Linked DNA regions of Nothobranchius furzeri. The protein of the gene in region 1 interacts with the protein of each later gene in a pairwise test. Links are inferred from orthologs where the notes say so. Each region holds a gene or a part of one and is shown in the gene's direction. Other genes may lie near its edges.

Region 1 (5,433 bases):
AACTGTTAGAAATAAAGCCTTTAAAAGGGATTTGAAGAACGTTTCTGTTTTCCTGTGCATGCCAGTTTCTCACTAAACACCCTAAAACAATGAAAAGAGAAAACATCTGTCTATAATATTTTTGTGCTATAAAACTATTGCCTTGAGTTCTATTCTGCCATAAATTTGAGGCTTTTTTTGTTCACTTTTTCAAGTTTGGGTGTTTTATGTGCAAGAATGAAAGCTTAACTCATGCGTTCTTCTGTTTGTTCTTGCAGTGTATCACTGGATCGAAATGAGAACGAAGATGCGGATCATGGGCTTCAAGGGCGCCACCATCAAGCCGCTGAACGAGGATGCGGCAGCAGAGTTGGGTGCAGAGTTGCTGGGAGAGGCAATCATTTTCCTTATCGGTGGCGGGTGTATGGTGGTGGAGTACAGCAGGCAGGCCGCCAACTCCCGTCGCAAGGAGGAGGAGCTGAACGAGACTATCACAAGCCTAAAGACTGAAATAGCAGAGTTAACATTAACAACAGAGACTCTTGACACTCAGCTGAAGGAGGTCAAGAGGCTCCTGCTTTACTTGCCTGCTCCCACTAAAAAGTGACAACATTTGATATGCATTTAATTGTTGGCCTGTGTGTGAAGGTGCATTCAAACAACACTGTCAAGTGCACAACTTGATTTCTGCCTTTCTCCACACTGCCCCCCGCCACAGAGCTGGGAGAAAAAGGTGGACATCAGTGCACTGTGAGTTTGGGAGCTATCATTTGCTCATGCTTTGAGCAACAATAAAGGAACACTATGATATTCATAGTAAATTTTGATCGATGACTTTGCATGTTTACTTAAAATAAAATTAACTACATGAGAGGCAATGGTGAACTTAGAGTTAATTTATTTTATAGCAGCTTGAGCATACTTCCATATCAATTCAAGTAAACAAATCTTATAGAATTTGAACATTTTGCTTTGTGTTTCTCAGCAGATGATTTGTGTTCTGAGTTATTAAATGCATTCCAAAAAAATTAAATCAGATCACAGCTGTTATTTTTCTACAGTTTTTACATCAGATGTATGATTATTGGTTTATATAAACCTGAGTAAGGATGGTGTTAAATCAATATGCTGTGTAATTCTGTTGTTATCCCCTCTTCAGTGTGAGCTAAACCATGGGTGTGCTGTATTATGCGCTTGATGCTTGAGTTTTTACTTGATGTGTAGTTTTAAATTCACTTAACTATTTCCAGTTACAGATTATTTATAAAGCACTTTACGCAGGACATAAAAGCCCAGGTAAGTCCTGTACACAGAGGAAATTACAATAAGACAACTGTAGCTAGGCCTACCTAAAATAAAGATAAAACAGATGTTTTACTTATAAACAAGGCCTCATAGCTATATATACATATATATATATATATATATATATATATATATATATATATATATATATATATATATATATATATGTATATATATATATATAATCACTGCCACAATTTCATATATGTGTGTAGACCGACACATTAGTGTGAATACTTTAATAAAGTCAATTATAAATTTACCATTTCGGAAAAACATTAGAAAAGGGTAATAGTGAAAAACCGACCCTTTTGCGCGTGCGCATTGGATTTACTGTCGTGATGTTGGTGTGCGGCTCTAGGGGGCGCTAGTTGTTCTTTCAGTCTTTTACCTCGACTATAACCCGCGCAGCTCGCGTCAAAGAAGGTAGGCCTCAGCTATATTTGTAATGAAATTGTATTTTATTATTACGTTATAAAGTGTATGTGCGATGCATTTACTGTAGCATCTGCATGAGAATCTTAAGTATCAGAAGGCGCATTACAGAAGGCGTATTTTATCAAAATTAAAGTATCTTGTGTTGCATTGCTTGACGGAACACAAGCTAACGCTAGTCTCAAAGTGTATCCGTCGTTAGCCGCACTGACAATTTTCATTATAGGAAACAAACAAATGTAGTTGAGTGACATTTTTTCATCTCACAGAACATAAATTTAAACATATTTACGAGCCTTGTCTGTTATAGGTCATCAAGACTTCATATTTGAGTTGTGTAAATCTGTTCATAGGTGTTAGCCTAGCTAAAACATTACGTATCCTGTTCAGGCAGAAACGGCGCGACAAGGATCCGTTTGAAAGTTGGGGCTCATCGATGCTAACTACGCTTCTGTTCTTTCTGCGTTGTTAGAGAAAGACCACAACCGTGAACAAATTACATCGACCATGAGTTTAGACGTAAAGAAACTGAAAGTAAACGAGCTGAAGGAAGAGCTCCAGCGCCGCGGCCTGGATACTAAAGGCCTGAAGGCGGACTTGATGGAGAGGCTGAAATCCGCCCTGGAGGAAGAAGCTCAGGAGGAAACATCTGAACAGGCAGAGCAGGAGGATGCCCACAATCAGGAATACCAGGAGGAAGAAGAGGAACAAGGTAGAGCTCCGTTAGCTGTAGTTATAGCTTTACTCTTTTATTCGCTGTCTAGTTTAGGATTTGGGACCATTTCACACTTTAAAAGTTATGAACAATAATTCCCCAAGCCTGCTGCTAAGATGACACGTGTCATTGTCTCATTTGCTCATAAACAGTTACTTCATCTACTACTACTTAATTGATTTGAGTTTAAGATTGTTTTGGTAGTTTGACACTTTGTATTTTGTTTTACACGATTATAAAAAAAATTGTTCTTGTTTATTTTAGAAAAAAATATTTGAACACAACTTGTTTGTTTACTAGTCTCCATAAAATAAATATATATATCTTTTAAATCATTCATTTGACTTTTTTTGCAATTAAACGTTTTCTCCGTTTTAGGTGCAAATGCAGCTCAAGACTTTGGAAATGAAAGTGGTGGTGATGATGAAAATGTTCCGCAAGACGAAGATGAAGGCAGAGATTCTGGTGGCTATTATGAGGAAGAGGAGGCAGAAGGCGAGCCTCGCAAAGGCCAGCAAGATTCAGATTTGGGTCAAGGCGCACCGGACTTCACAGCAGATGAGGATATTCACGGATCAAACATGTTTGAGGAGGAGACAAAACCAGAAGAATTGCCGGAGGAGAGAGTGGAGATTAAAAATGGTTACTATTCAGTTTCTAACTTTCAAGCATTTTGTAGTTCTACCACAAAAATGTTGTTAATTTAATCATGTGGTCACTGTTATTCTGCTGAGAGAACATTTGACAGCGAGTTTTATTCACATGTTAAAAATGATTTTGTATTTTAGAAGTTGCAGTCAAAGTAAAAACAGAAGAAGAGGAGACTGAACCTGTTGAAAACAAACAGCAGGATGGAGAGCAGCAGCAAGAACGAGATGCTGCAGACTTGGCTGAGCGGGTGAAAGTGGAAGATAAAGGTGGAAACTACAGCCGTAAGAGGCCACACGAGGAGAACCGGCGCTACGGCTACGAGAAGAGGTAAGTTGCTTAACCCATAAAGCTTCTTGATGTATTTTTTTGTACACAGTGTTTGTGTTTTTGTGAGTAATTTTGTCTTTGCAAATTAGGGCTGAACATTTGCAAGAAATTGCGATTTGAGTTTAATTCACGATTTTATTGAAATCAAAGTTCAACATGGTCACAAAATAACCATATAAATTATACCATGAAAACATCATTTTTTCTCCCATTATCTGTTTTATTCTTCATGTTTTAATGTGTTTGTGAAGCGACTTGTTGTGATTTTAATTTGGAGAAGTGCTTTATAAAAATACGTTCTTCTTGTGTTACTCTAATAGTGCAAGGAGGAAAACTAAAGGTAAAATTGCTTTCAACTATTGACAAATATGCATAAAGAGTTTTCCCTGCATTATTTACCGAGTCAGGCTGGCTGGGTGTCTTTCTGTGCCGACTGCAGCAATAAAAAAAAATGCCACCTCTGCATAGGGAAGAGGAGTGTGCGTGCACGCGTCTGCAGTAAATGTGGACAGGCTGTGTGCAAAGAGCACATAACTGTTCTTTGCATTGTCTGCACCGGTCAGCGCCCCCACCACTCACACCCTCACTTGTTCTTTGTGTGATGTTTTGCAATAAACGGTTCAACTGGCCGTCTGTGTGTAAGTGTTTTTGTGCACCAGAAGGGAAAAGTAGAAAGACTAAACAAACATTTGTATGCCTGCGTGTGTCATTCCAAAGCTCTGACACAGAAATATTTAAATTGTTATTTTTTTCAGTGCATACTTTAATCATAAACCACACTGAAGGCATCAAATATCAGAAATGCAAATGTTTTATTGTGTTTTGTGAGTTCTGCAGCCAAAAATTAAATTAATCAAAAAAATGTTGACTTATGAAATATTTTTCAAGGGAAAAATGTGCTATTTTCACGGGAAAAAAGCTGTAAATGGCATTTTGTATCCAACTTCAAAGTGATGTAAAATAACGCAGCTGCTGTAACCCAAACCAGACCACTTTCTGTTCAAGCCTCTAAAGGTGATCCTTTTCTGGTTGTGCACAGATCTCGAACACCCCAGCCTCCTGCTGAAGATGAGGAGGAGAACATTGACGACACTCTAGTGACAATTGATCCATGTAAGTTCAAACTTTTACTTTTTCATCTTTAAAAACCCACATTTGGTGTAAAAATTCAAGTGACGGCTCTCGTTTCTTCTGCTGGAGGCGTTCTAACGGGTCAGAGTTAGCTGGATTTGAGGCTAACGCTAATCACGTCCTCCGTTTCCACTGAGAGGTCTGAAATCTTGTTTTCCAAATCAGCTGTGGTCTGGAGATTGGTCTGCCATGAACTTAGTGCTTGGTGTTGGTTCTGGCTGCAGCAGCCTCAGTTCTCAGTAACACAGAGGCTCCAGACACAGCTGCTGGGTTAGACTCAACACTCAGATCTGATACGGTCACATTCACATATCAACCAAGTCTGAAACGTTACCAAAAACAGGACATGATCCCAGTTCACCTTTTTAATAAATAAAGTGACTTAGTGGAACAGCTTCTGTTGCTGTTGAGCAGCAGCAAACTAAACCCTGTTTGCTTTGTTAGGGGTAGGGTGACTGTTTGTTGTCATTGTTTTTTTAAACATTTTTACTATATTATGGAGTGAAAAATAACTTATTAGTTTCCAAAGGAGGCGCTGAAAACACGAGACCTTATTTTCTGGTTCAAAAAGATCAAATAAATCTAAATAATGATTTAAAGCACACCTGAACTTTCTCTTTCCCCTCCTAGACAACTGTGATTTGCACTTCAAAGTGTCCCGAGACCGGTACAGTGGCTATCCGCTGACCATTGAGGGCTTTGCTTACCTGTGGGCTGGAGCCAGAGCGACTCATGGCGTCACCCAGGGTCGCGTGTGCTACGAGATGAAGGTGATTTACACTCGGTTGATGCGTATGTGGACACAGAATGAAGGACTTACCACTCCGTTTCTCTTCCTGCAGATAAACGAGGAAATTCCCGTGAAGCACCTGCCGAGCACCGAGCCGGAT
Region 2 (5,635 bases), on another chromosome or scaffold:
TTGGGTGTTGTTCGTCACGTTATCGGCCGTGTTACCATTACCTGCCATTTTTATAGCTGAAAGTTTTATTCTATTTTTAATCTTATTATGTGTTCATGTTATATGTAGCACTTTAGTACCAAAGCAAGTTCCTAGTTTGTGAATTGTTTGTTCACTGACAATGGCAATAAACCGATTCTGATTCTGATTCCCAAGCCATTGTAGGAAACAAATATTAGATTTTTCACAATTGAAAATTTAATTTACGAACCAGTTTAGGCAAAGTTGTTTTTTTTTTTCCTTTTATGTACTTTAAATAAAAAAATTCAAACATGTAGAATATGAGAAGAACAAGCAATTCAAGCTGAAAAATAACCAGCTTTTCCCCAACGTCAATAAACTCACAGGGACGTGTGCAAAATGCACTTTTTGCATTTTTAGAGCTGCCATATGACTCTACTACCCCTACACATATCCAAACAAGGATAAAATCTGTGCTTTCACTTGTTGAGTTTGACTTCAGGTGTTATTCGTCTGAAATGAGCTGTTTCAAAAATTCCTTGTGCTTTTCTGTGTTTCTCTTCTATTTCCATGGGTTTTCTGTTCTTATTTTGTAAAGCGAAGCAAAATGTTTTTTCTTCTTTATCTTTTTTTTTTTTTTTTTTTTTTTTGCTGACAGGGCATCACAGTCGCCATCATCAGAGCTTCTGCGGTGTCGTCACTTCTGCTGTTAATCCCGGGCGGTGTGGAACGATGTCGCCCTCTACAGCCCGCACCTTCCCTGCCGATCACCACGTCCCATGAATGATCCAGCGTGTAAACTCCATCACTTTTCATGGCCCAGAGTCCACGTTTACCAATCTCAATCGCTTCGTTTAGGCATCTTCAGTGGATAAACAGCGGAAGTGACGCCGCCAGAATGGCGAATCTCTGCAACGCCGAAACTTTCAGCAGGTAACGTAAAAAAACAAAACTTTGCTACTCTGTGTGCAAGATAAGAACAGAAAAAACTATTTTTCAAAAAATTCTATATTGTGACATCACAAATAAAATTATCATAGAATCCCTTCAACTTCAGATGCTGGATGACCTCCTCCAACGGCAACCAATCAGGGACCAGAAACTGTTTTGCTTAAAGTGAAAGAACGGCTCATTCTAGAAAGTACTTAAAAAGCTGCTCACTTTATGCGAGACTAGTTTTGAGCAAGGAGCTTAATTATATAGTTTTGTATTTACTCTAGAGTAGGCGTGTCCAGTGTGGCTCGGGGGGCATTTACGGCCCTCCAAGCGATTTTGTAAGGCCTCCATTTGAATTTTTAGAATGATGAATTTTGTCTTTCCATGTGGAATGTAACCCACTTTCTAACATGTTTGTGTTGAGATTTTTACTTATTAGCCTATTTTGGGTTCATTTTGAAGAGCACAAATAAGAAAAATTGCCACAAAATAATGCTTGCAATTTTTTATGAAGAAACCTACATTCTTGTGGCCCCCAGTGACTTTAAACAGCCATTTTAGCCCTCGCCTTGAAAAGTTTGGACATCCCTGGTCTAGAGAGTAAAATAAAAACTCGCAGTTCCCCTTTAAATGATCTGCTATCGTTGGTGTGTTCTTGCTGTGTTTAGTTTCAAATTCTATCTTTCAGTTCTTTTTAAAGCACGATATGCTATGTGCGTGTAAACAGTGGTCACGCACGAATTCAGCTATTTCCGACAGACTTGAAGGCAGCACCAAAGCAGGAAGTGCGTGACGCGTTTTACCGCTTGTTTCGCTGTGGTAACAAAGCACGTTTTGGTTATTTTTAAACCCAGATTTGTCAGGTTCAAAATTTGAGACAATTTATAAAACAAAACCACTTCACTCGCCTGAACCCTCTGGAACATGGAGGCGGAGAAAGAGGACGAAGAAGACGCGTCTCCTGAAGAGTTTGTGGCTTTGTCTGATTTCTCAGGAAGTGGCTCCGAGCAGGTTAGAGGCAAACAAACAGCGGTTCAGCCACAGAACACACTCACTTCATCACTTGTGTCCCGCAGCTTAGTTTCAGCTCAGGGGACAAGCTGCTTGTTCACGCCAAACCTTCTGCAGCCTGGTGGTGGGCGGAGGTCCGTGGGGTCATAGGGTATGTCCCTGCCAGCTACCTGCGCCAGGACACAGCTGAGGAGGAAGACACCTCTATAGAAGACCCCTGGCAGGATGAAGAGTACTTTGGGAGCTATGGAACACTGGTCAGAAACATCAAACATTTATCCTATGAAACTTTAGGTCGGTTTGCATGATTAAAGCAACACTTGTGCATTTAGAATGTGTAGAAGCTGCAATATCTTCATAAGTTTAGCCTGAATTTGAGCTCTACACTATATCATGTCAGGTTTTGACTGTAAAGCACACAAAAACTTAAAAAGTACAATACTTGAGAAATAATAGTGAAATGGCACACCCACAGAGAAAATATCCCATCTGTTGTTCCTTAGATGATTATGTCATTCTTAAATTTTATTTATTTAATTTTTTTGCAGAATCTGCTTAGTTTGGGGTTTATTTTTACATCCAGGAATGCTGCTGAAGTTAAAAAAATAAATAAAGTGTTAGTCTCCTGAGGCAGCAGTGTGTGTGGCCTGTTCTCCACCTAAATCCTAATCTCTAACCTCCGTAGAGACTTTACTGATGTTGTCTCAGTAGCATTGAAGCATATGAGTTTGCGGCGGATTCAAAAATACTTTAATGCCATTAAAATAAAAGAAACATTAATACGTGTTTTTGAGTTTTTGACAAAATTCAAGCTTTGTTAATAACAACACCGGAAATCGATAATGAGATTCTGCCACTGTTCTGTTCATTAGAGGAGATTTCTTGTCCTCGTCATTCATGCATGTTATGTGTTCATTTTGTGGGGGCTAGGAATAGATATTTACCTCAACAAATCTTTAATAATTAAGAGGTTATTTGCAGGTTTATTATGGATTTGTTGTGCAGAGATTTCTGCACATAGTCAGAAAGAGTGCAGCACCATTAAAAAGTCACATTAGCCTCCTCTGTTCTTTACGACTGCAGGGACTAGAGGACTGGTCCTGCAGATCTTTTGTATTTCTGAAAATCGTATCGTGACTGTGATTTTCCTCTGCAGAGAAAACAGACCATTAAATGGAATATATTTGCTGGAGTGTTGTGTGCACAGCGTTATGGATTCAAGTCAAAAACTGAAAAAGCGTTTGGAATAGAACAAAGGGGCTTATTACAAATCTTGTTTCCTGCCTCAGAACCATGAACGGCATCAGGAACTGAACAGTTTACAGCACGGTGAGGCTGCTGATGTTTCAGACTTAGTCAAAGTTGTGGATTCTAATTTGCACCTCGGTCAGGTAAAGGATCAATGAGCCAAAGCGACCACGTCAGCATATTCAATAAAGCAACCTAGCTGCCCTTGTGCTCACGTCCACTTATTAATCACCTTCTGCTACATAATTAAAACCTGTTGGGTTTGCTTTCACACCATCAACCACACATGTGTTTTATGTTGCTACTTTTCATCTGTTAGCGGGAGTGATTGGGAGCACGGTTTCTGATGGTTCTGATATATTTTCACCCCTCCATGTCATCATGTTAAATTCAGTTTATCTCTTACGATGCAGAAGCTTCACCTAGAGATGTTGTCGGACAGGAGCCGCACCGAGACGTACCGGCAGGTTGTTCTCCGCAACAGTGCCTCCCTGAAGAACAAGGCGGTGATGGACCTCGGCTGTGGAACCGGCATCATCAGCTTGTTCTGCGCTCAGTTGGCGCAACCGTCAGTGGTAATTGTGACACTGAAATTCAACCATGTCGGCTTAAATGAATGTTCAGTTAGCATTAAAGTATGCAAGTGTCTCCTGAATGATTATTATTCTATGATTCCATATATTCAGAGTAAAGATCTCTTTATATATCATACAAAGTAAAATTTTAACTTGATGCCTTTAAGGTTTTAATTAAAAAAAAGACAAATTGGAAAGAAACAGTCACTAAGTGGTTCAGGTCAACTTTATGTTGAACAGTTTGGTTAGAGCGCCATCTGGTGGACAAACACTATTTCTACAGGACTGAACCCTTTGGTTTGAACAGCTTCGTGTTTCTAAGGTAGCCTGGCCTGCCAGACTCACCCTCTGTCTATTCTACAACATGCCAATGCTTCCCATAAGGAAGGCTGGCCAGGCTATTTAAAGGTGCAGTGGATGTTGTAGGAAACGGACGTTCAAATGAGCTACATTAAAAAAAAACAGGTTCAACCCCTTTTTCTGCAGACCCCCCTGGAGTCATAGAAAATGTTCTAACACCAGACCATACGAATGCCGTCCAACAACGATAAAAGTCTTTTCAACTTGTTGTTGGCACCTTTTCTGCCATTTTTTTAAATAGTGTAACGCATCGTAACCATGTAACATGTGGGAGGTGGAAGAAGTGGTCAGTTACTGATTTGAGGTCGCTGGTTCAAACCCTGCTCCCACCAACCTGTCGTCGTGTCCGTGGGCAAGACACGTCACACTTGTTGCGTACTTGTGTTGATCAGAGAACCCGGTGGCCTAGCTTCTGTCGGGTTGCCCCAGGGCAGCTGTGGCTACAGTGTAGCTCATCACCACCAGTGTTTGAATGTGAGCATAAAGCGCCCTGGAGTCAGTAGATGATTCAAAGCGCTGTACAAAATCAGACCATTTACCATTATTAGAACAATTTAATAAGCTAGCTAACATAATTTTTTTATGGTGTAAAACCAGGCAGTTTGTTTCTTGGTTTATTAATAATATAATATAATTTTTTATATAATATTAATATTATATATTCACAGCAGCTCAGTGCCACTAATTTTATATTTATTTTTTTATTGTGCGTATTTCTTATTTCATTTTTATTTTTTGCACCAAGTACCGCAGCAATTTCCTAAGGTTGTTTATTGCACGTATGGCAATAAAAGCAGGAAGGTAAAGCTCGAGATTTATCGGTCGATCTACGTTCCAACACTCATCTGTGGTCACAAGCTTTGGGTAGTGACCGAAAAAACAAGATTGCAGAATCGGATGCAAGCGGCCGAAATGAGTTTTTTACACAGGGTGGCCGGGCTCTCCCTTAGAGTAGAGGAGAGAAGCTCGGTCATCCGGGAGGGGCTCAGAGTAGACCCGCTGCACCTCCACATCGAGAGGAGCCAGTTGAGGTGGCTCAGGCATCTGGTCAGGATGCCTCCTGAACACCTCCTTAGTGAAGTTTTCTGGGGACGCCCAACTGGGAGGAGACCTTAAGGGAGACCAAGGAAACGCTGCAGGGACTATTGGGCCATTCCCATCTGTACCGGGTCGGCCCGGGCCGGGTAGCCCCAGTCGGCCCCAGCCTGGCCCGGTTGATTCCACACATCCTTGTCTTAAGCCCATGTGGGCTGATTCTACCCACCAATCAGAGGCTTGCTCTAATGGAAGGTGTGAATTTGCTGTCAGCAGTGGGTGTGTCGGCCCTGGTCGGCCTGAAGCAGACCCTCTCGAGAAGAGGGCTGAGAATGAGCCTTGGTTGGCCCGGAAAAATACCAGGCCACCCAGATATGTAAACAACCTACACTACCCGGCCCGGGCCGACCCGGTACTGATGAGAATGGCCCATATGTTTCTTGGCTGGCCAGGGAGCGCCTTGGGGTTCC
Region 3 (5,555 bases), on another chromosome or scaffold:
TGAAGCGAAACATTCTCCAAGTTTGTGAAAATGACCACTTTAAACAGGAAGTTTGCATCATAATTTGAGGGTACTTTTTAAAAATACGTCAGCAGACGATTAACAGCTCTGACAGCAGCTCAGGGTTTTACAAACATCAGCAAACCGGCACTTGTTTGTGAAGGTTTCTTTCACTGTTTTCTATATTTTTAGTGTGATTTGTGATTACGACACTAGCCGAATGTATTTTATTTTATTTTTTAAGTGCTTTCAACTATAAAGCTACTCCATATGATCGCAGTTGCTTAGAGCCTCAGTGTTAGGACTGAAAACCATGTAACTCACTCTTATTATTAGGGTTAAATGTTGAATTTAAAAACATATTTTTCTTTTTTTTTCTAGAATATATTTAATACATTATAAAGGCATTTCAACAAGAAGTATTTTGGCAGCTTAATGTAAAAAAGACAAGCGAGTCATTGTTGAAGCGGGGCTCTTGATTTGAGAGAAATGAGCAGAAGCTTGGAAAGCAGAAACACACGGGCTCATTCTTGTGGCTGAAAGCTAAATTATCAGCAGCTGAAACTTATTACACAGAATTTTAGTAGCTGGCAAATAAAACACTAGAAGGAAGAGTTTAGTTTTATTAAAGAGAGTAGCTTTTCTCTGTCTTTTATAGAATAATGCATATACTATAGCTACCTTTAGCCAAACAGGGGTGTCCAAACTTTTCAAGACGAGAGCCTAAATTGTCCTCTTGGGACAGAAAAATTGGATTTTTTTAATAGAAAAGAAAATACAAAAATAATTTTATTTTAAACCAGGGTTTTCCTGGCTCAAATTGAGTCAAAGGTGGTACCATCCTGACCATGCGCCGGCACATGCATACTCTGTGCATTCAACTGCCTCTCTTTTTTAAAGGCTAAATATTTTTTTGTTAAGTGTTCTATTCTAAGCTTCTGTTGATTAATTGACTATTCCATCCGACAACGTTTCAAGCGAAAAAAAACTGGTTTACTGCTAAAAAATATGAAATAAAACAACAAAATTATCAGGCTGAAGTATATAAAAGGCTCAATAATATGCATTATGGTTTCGTCCATCATGAACAGCCCCCCTCCTTCCACTCTCACTGAGACTTCTTTGCTTCGTTCAAAAGAGCCAGTCTTTTGAGCGGCCCTTTGAAGACGTAATTATTTTTATTTTTATGAGCTTTACTATCTATTTGTGGTATAACGGTTTGTGACTAAATGCATTATGGGATACTTTTCTGGTCCAAGTCCAAAGATGGATACTTTATTGTAATGGGTGAAGGACGAACACATCCAGGAACTTTGAGCGTACTTGCCATGATGCGTACTTGGTATTGGAACAGTACACGGGCTAACGCCAATGACATTTCACAATTAATATAGTACACACGTTTAAACAAGTACTCATATTGCAAAACAGCCTATAACTTGTTTTTTTTAATTAGTCTAAACCTTTCTCTTTCTGTGGTCTTTGGTGATTGCCAAGCAACACTTCCTAACCAGGAAGCAACTTGGTTCGCTCCCTGCTAGCCAAACTATCTCTAAGTATCATGACAGTGCTATACTTTCTCATATTTATGCCATAATGTCAAATTATTTCTTTATTATGTGACAAATATTATGAAGGTTAAAAGAAGGCGATTGTGTTTATGAACACCGGGTTTTAGTGAATCAGCTTGTGAAATATGTGTTGCATTATTTGGTTTGTGTTGTGAAATTCTGTTCTCGTTTTAGGGGCCAAAAAAAGAAAATGTAATAAGTGTATTTGAGCAGGTTTAATGAGTGAGCCTGGAGGTCTTTAATTTTGTTTATTTTTAAGGTTTACTTTTTAAAATAAAGTTCAGTAGATGTATTTTTCTTCACAAGCCATTAATTATTCTCAGCTCTTTCAGTTATTTTAATGACTATTATCTATGAAGGCTCCCTTACTGATGCTTATTTTAAATTCATTTTATAAACAGCTTTGGCAACAGTTTTATTTTTTGTCTTTGGTGCATGATGTTAGTTTCTATTTTTAATGTGTGTTTTATATATATATATATATATATATATAAAAAATAGTTACTTTCTAAAATTTTTGAGACCCTAAATGTGTGTATTTTCTATGAACACTTTGTATTCCATGTTTATACCTTTAGTATATTTATATGTATATGAAATAAATCAAATAATAAAAATAATTGTGGCTTTGTTTTGAATTTGTTGTTAATGGTTAAGTGCCATACAACTAAAAATATCCCAGAAAAAACTATCAAATCAATTCAAATGAAACTTAGTGATTTTGATTGCCTTTCAAGTTTTTAATTAACATTCATTTATTTGCTGTCTTTTTTTGTTTAGGAATGTCTGGGTCTTTAGTGTAATCAGAGTATAACAATTTTTTATGTAACTACAAAAACAGAAGAATTAGTTTATTTTTACTTTAATTTATTTGATCTTATTTTATTTTGTTGGGTTTTACCGGAAGAGGCGGGCCTTCCCTTCACAACGCTCTCCCAGCGTTGGTCATTCAACATGGCAGCGGGACCAATTTCAGAAAGAAACCAAGGTAATTTCATTGTTTAAATGGTTTAACGCTTACACCTTCATTATTTAGCGATATCTCTTGATTTATAACAATTGAAATTCTTATCCGCTCTTTCCCACCAATGTTAGCTGTCTAATTAGCCCGTGTTTTGGGGGTAAATGCGTACTCAAACACATGGAAGTCTCCGGTCTCGTTAGCCTAGCTTCTAGCTAAGTTAGCCGTTTTTTGTTTATTTTAATTGTATTACTTAATGCTTGTATTACTTAATGCTTGACTTCACGATAGCATACGGGAGTTTTATGTTGTTTATTTGAAATGCAGAGATTATTCCAAGTCAGGACTAGAACCACTAAACAACTAAAGTTAGCCTTAAAAACTCGCGACATTAGCATGTAGCAATGCTCACCTATCAATGTAAACACCGTTTTCCTTAATAGGTATTTTCTTGTGTTTCCAGATGCCACCGTGTATGTCGGTGGTTTGGATGAGAAGGTGTCAGAGCCGTTGCTATGGGAGCTTTTTCTGCAGGCTGGCCCTGTTGTCAACACACACATGCCCAAAGATCGGGTCACAGGTCAACATCAAGGTGAGAATCAGGCTATTCAAGATGGGATGAAAGTCCTAAAATTCACTGTAACAATGTACATAACAAATGAAACTGTTCCACTCAGGTTATGGATTTGTGGAGTTCCTCAGTGAGGAAGATGCTGACTATGCCATTAAAATCATGAACATGATTAAGCTCTACGGCAAACCGATTCGCGTGAATAAGGCCTCCGCCCACAACAAAAACCTGGATGTTGGCGCTAATATCTTCATCGGGAACTTGGACCCGGAGATCGATGAAAAACTGCTCTACGACACGTTCAGTGCTTTTGGCGTTATTCTACAAACTCCAAAGATCATGCGAGACCCAGACACCGGCAACTCCAAGGGTTACGCCTTCATCAACTTTGCCAGCTTTGATGCGTCCGACGCCGCCATCGAGGCCATGAATGGCCAGTACCTGTGCAACCGGCCCATCACTGTGTCGTACGCGTTCAAGAAAGATTCTAAAGGAGAACGCCATGGCTCAGCGGCAGAGCGACTGCTAGCTGCACAAAACCCTCTCTCGCAGGCAGACAGGCCACATCAGCTGTTTGCAGATGCTCCGCCCCCACCATCTGCACAGACGCCACTCCTAACCGCAATGGGCCCCGGGATTCCTCTTCATGGTATGACTGCTCTAATCTTAACTGCCGATAAAGAAGTACCTTTCTACATTTATTGGGTTAATTATATAATAGTTTTGTTTTTTTTTTTGCGCAGGTTTGCCGCCTCCTGGTGCCTTTCCTCACGTTCCTCCCCCTGGATCAATGCCTCCAACGATGCCCCCTTCTATGGGCATGCCTCCATCAGCAGGGACACCAGGTCCTCCATCTTCTCTTGGTGGACCTCCAGCTGTTCCTCCACCTTTCGCACCGGCCAGCATGCCTCCAGGTATAACTCGGTTGCAGAAAAGCCTGAAAATTTAAGTCTCTGCTCCCCATTTTAGCTTTAAGAAGTCCAATAACGATTAATAAAATTGTGCAGGATCAACCTCAGTCATCTCCTTCAAATGTGAAGAAATAAAAACAATAATGTTTCAATTTAAATGTCAGGTTATTAAAATGCAGCTGTTAGCCCTGAATGAGTTATTTTTATTTGTTTGATCCGGGCCCACAGGTATGCCTCAGATGCCCATGCCGCCTGCTCCTCCTGGCATGGTGCCTCCACCTGCTCCACCAGGATCGGCTCGAGCTCCACCGCCCCCCAGCATGCCCCCACCTCCTATGGGCATGCCTCCCAGAGCACCGTATGGACCCCCCATGGGTGAGCACTGTGGCATTTTCTCAAAAATACAATTTTTTTTAAATGAAAGTTGTTTTTAACCTGTTATTTCTTTTTTTTTTTTTTTTTTTCCCAAGCCCACCCTGTGCCTCCAGGTATGAGAGGACCTCCCCCCATGCCTCCTCCCGGCTATGGTGCCGTTCCTCCTCGTCCACCTCCTTTTGGTTTCCAGAGAGCACCTCCAATGCCACCAAGACCTCCCGGTGCCCCTCCTCGGGTCCCTTGAGAGCACCAAGAGCTCCGTGATCCACGTCAGACCACAGGAACATTCAGCTTGTTGTTTTTTTAAATACATGTTTCGATCTACTGGATTTTGTTATCTTGGAAGTAATTTAACCAACTGTTTTTGATTTATGCTCATTGTACAGATAAACAGAAAATTGGCAAATAAACATTTTAGTACAACTTTTGGATATTTTTGCGTTTAATTATTACTAATAAACTTGTAATGTACCAGAAATTAGTTTATGAGTAAAAGCTGCATAATAAGCAGGTGAGAGAGTAATATGTTCTAATTTATGTCCAAAAGGTATTTATAACTTGAGGCAGGGGCCCCAGTAGGTCATATACTCTCAGGTATTATGGTTTTATTTAAAAAGTAAAGTGATATTCCCTACTGTTGGGATTAAAATCCAAAAATATTTTTAAAAGAATTTTTTTAAAATGTTTTCTTTGGACATTTATTGCTCTACAAAATTTTTTTAGTCAGTTGTGAAATAAAAGAAAAGGGGAGAATAGTTTCCTTAAGTTTTGGATGCTGTATTTAATTTTCCTAAAATAGATCCATCAGCTGATTTGCGCATTTATTTTCTCACAGTTGAAGTTAAAAAAATATTAGTAAGAAGTACCTTGGAGCCAATCCCGAAGCAACCAAAGGTTGTCATGGCAACAGGAATCAGGCGTAATCGCACGTGCGCAACGTTTGATAGTGTGATGAGTTCCGGTTTTTGGACACATTGTTCCTGAACTTAAAAATATAAAAACGCGCATTTAAAAAAAATTAAACAAATCGCTAATTATGCACAGATTTGCGCCAGAAAATAAGATGTGCGCTGCGAGATGTGAGCTCGCGAGGGGGGGAGGGGACCACTTCGGTGTGCGTGGATGGCGTGGGCTTCTCTCCTCCGAAGCGCGCATCATCATCATCA

What was found.
Region 2: the proteins of hnrnpul1 (region 1) and prmt2 interact in a two-hybrid assay, tested with the Homo sapiens proteins (2 studies listed by BioGRID and IntAct). The link is inferred for Nothobranchius furzeri from reciprocal best matches to the Homo sapiens genes HNRNPUL1 and PRMT2.
Region 3: the proteins of hnrnpul1 (region 1) and sf3b4 interact in binary tests that used the Homo sapiens proteins (3 or more experiments, as listed by UniProt). The link is inferred for Nothobranchius furzeri from reciprocal best matches to the Homo sapiens genes HNRNPUL1 and SF3B4.

Annotation. Positions count from the first base shown.
Region 1 is NC_091753.1:58,647,536-58,652,968, forward strand, and holds the start of hnrnpul1 (heterogeneous nuclear ribonucleoprotein U-like protein 1), read left to right. Parts: upstream 1-1,619; 5' UTR 1,620-1,710; intron 1,711-2,191; 5' UTR 2,192-2,226; coding exon 2,227-2,431; intron 2,432-2,812; coding exon 2,813-3,076; intron 3,077-3,222; coding exon 3,223-3,412; intron 3,413-4,451; coding exon 4,452-4,525; intron 4,526-5,173; coding exon 5,174-5,313; intron 5,314-5,385; coding exon 5,386-5,433. Other genes in the region: opa3 (optic atrophy 3 protein homolog), read left to right, coding at 258-586.
Region 2 is NC_091754.1:17,486,406-17,492,040, forward strand, and holds the start of prmt2 (protein arginine N-methyltransferase 2), read left to right. Parts: upstream 1-1,810; 5' UTR 1,811-1,860; coding exon 1,861-1,947; exon of another isoform or gene 1,948-1,980; intron 1,981-2,012; coding exon 2,013-2,204; intron 2,205-3,608; coding exon 3,609-3,770; intron 3,771-5,635. UniProt on the Homo sapiens protein: Arginine methyltransferase that methylates the guanidino nitrogens of arginyl residues in proteins such as STAT3, FBL, histone H4. Acts as a coactivator (with NCOA2) of the androgen receptor (AR)-mediated transactivation.
Region 3 is NC_091759.1:1,629,033-1,634,587, forward strand, and holds sf3b4 (splicing factor 3B subunit 4), read left to right. Parts: upstream 1-2,290; 5' UTR 2,291-2,525; coding exon 2,526-2,559; intron 2,560-2,995; coding exon 2,996-3,124; intron 3,125-3,209; coding exon 3,210-3,752; intron 3,753-3,846; coding exon 3,847-4,017; intron 4,018-4,242; coding exon 4,243-4,389; intron 4,390-4,484; coding exon 4,485-4,633; 3' UTR 4,634-4,812; downstream 4,813-5,555. UniProt on the Homo sapiens protein: Component of the 17S U2 SnRNP complex of the spliceosome, a large ribonucleoprotein complex that removes introns from transcribed pre-mRNAs.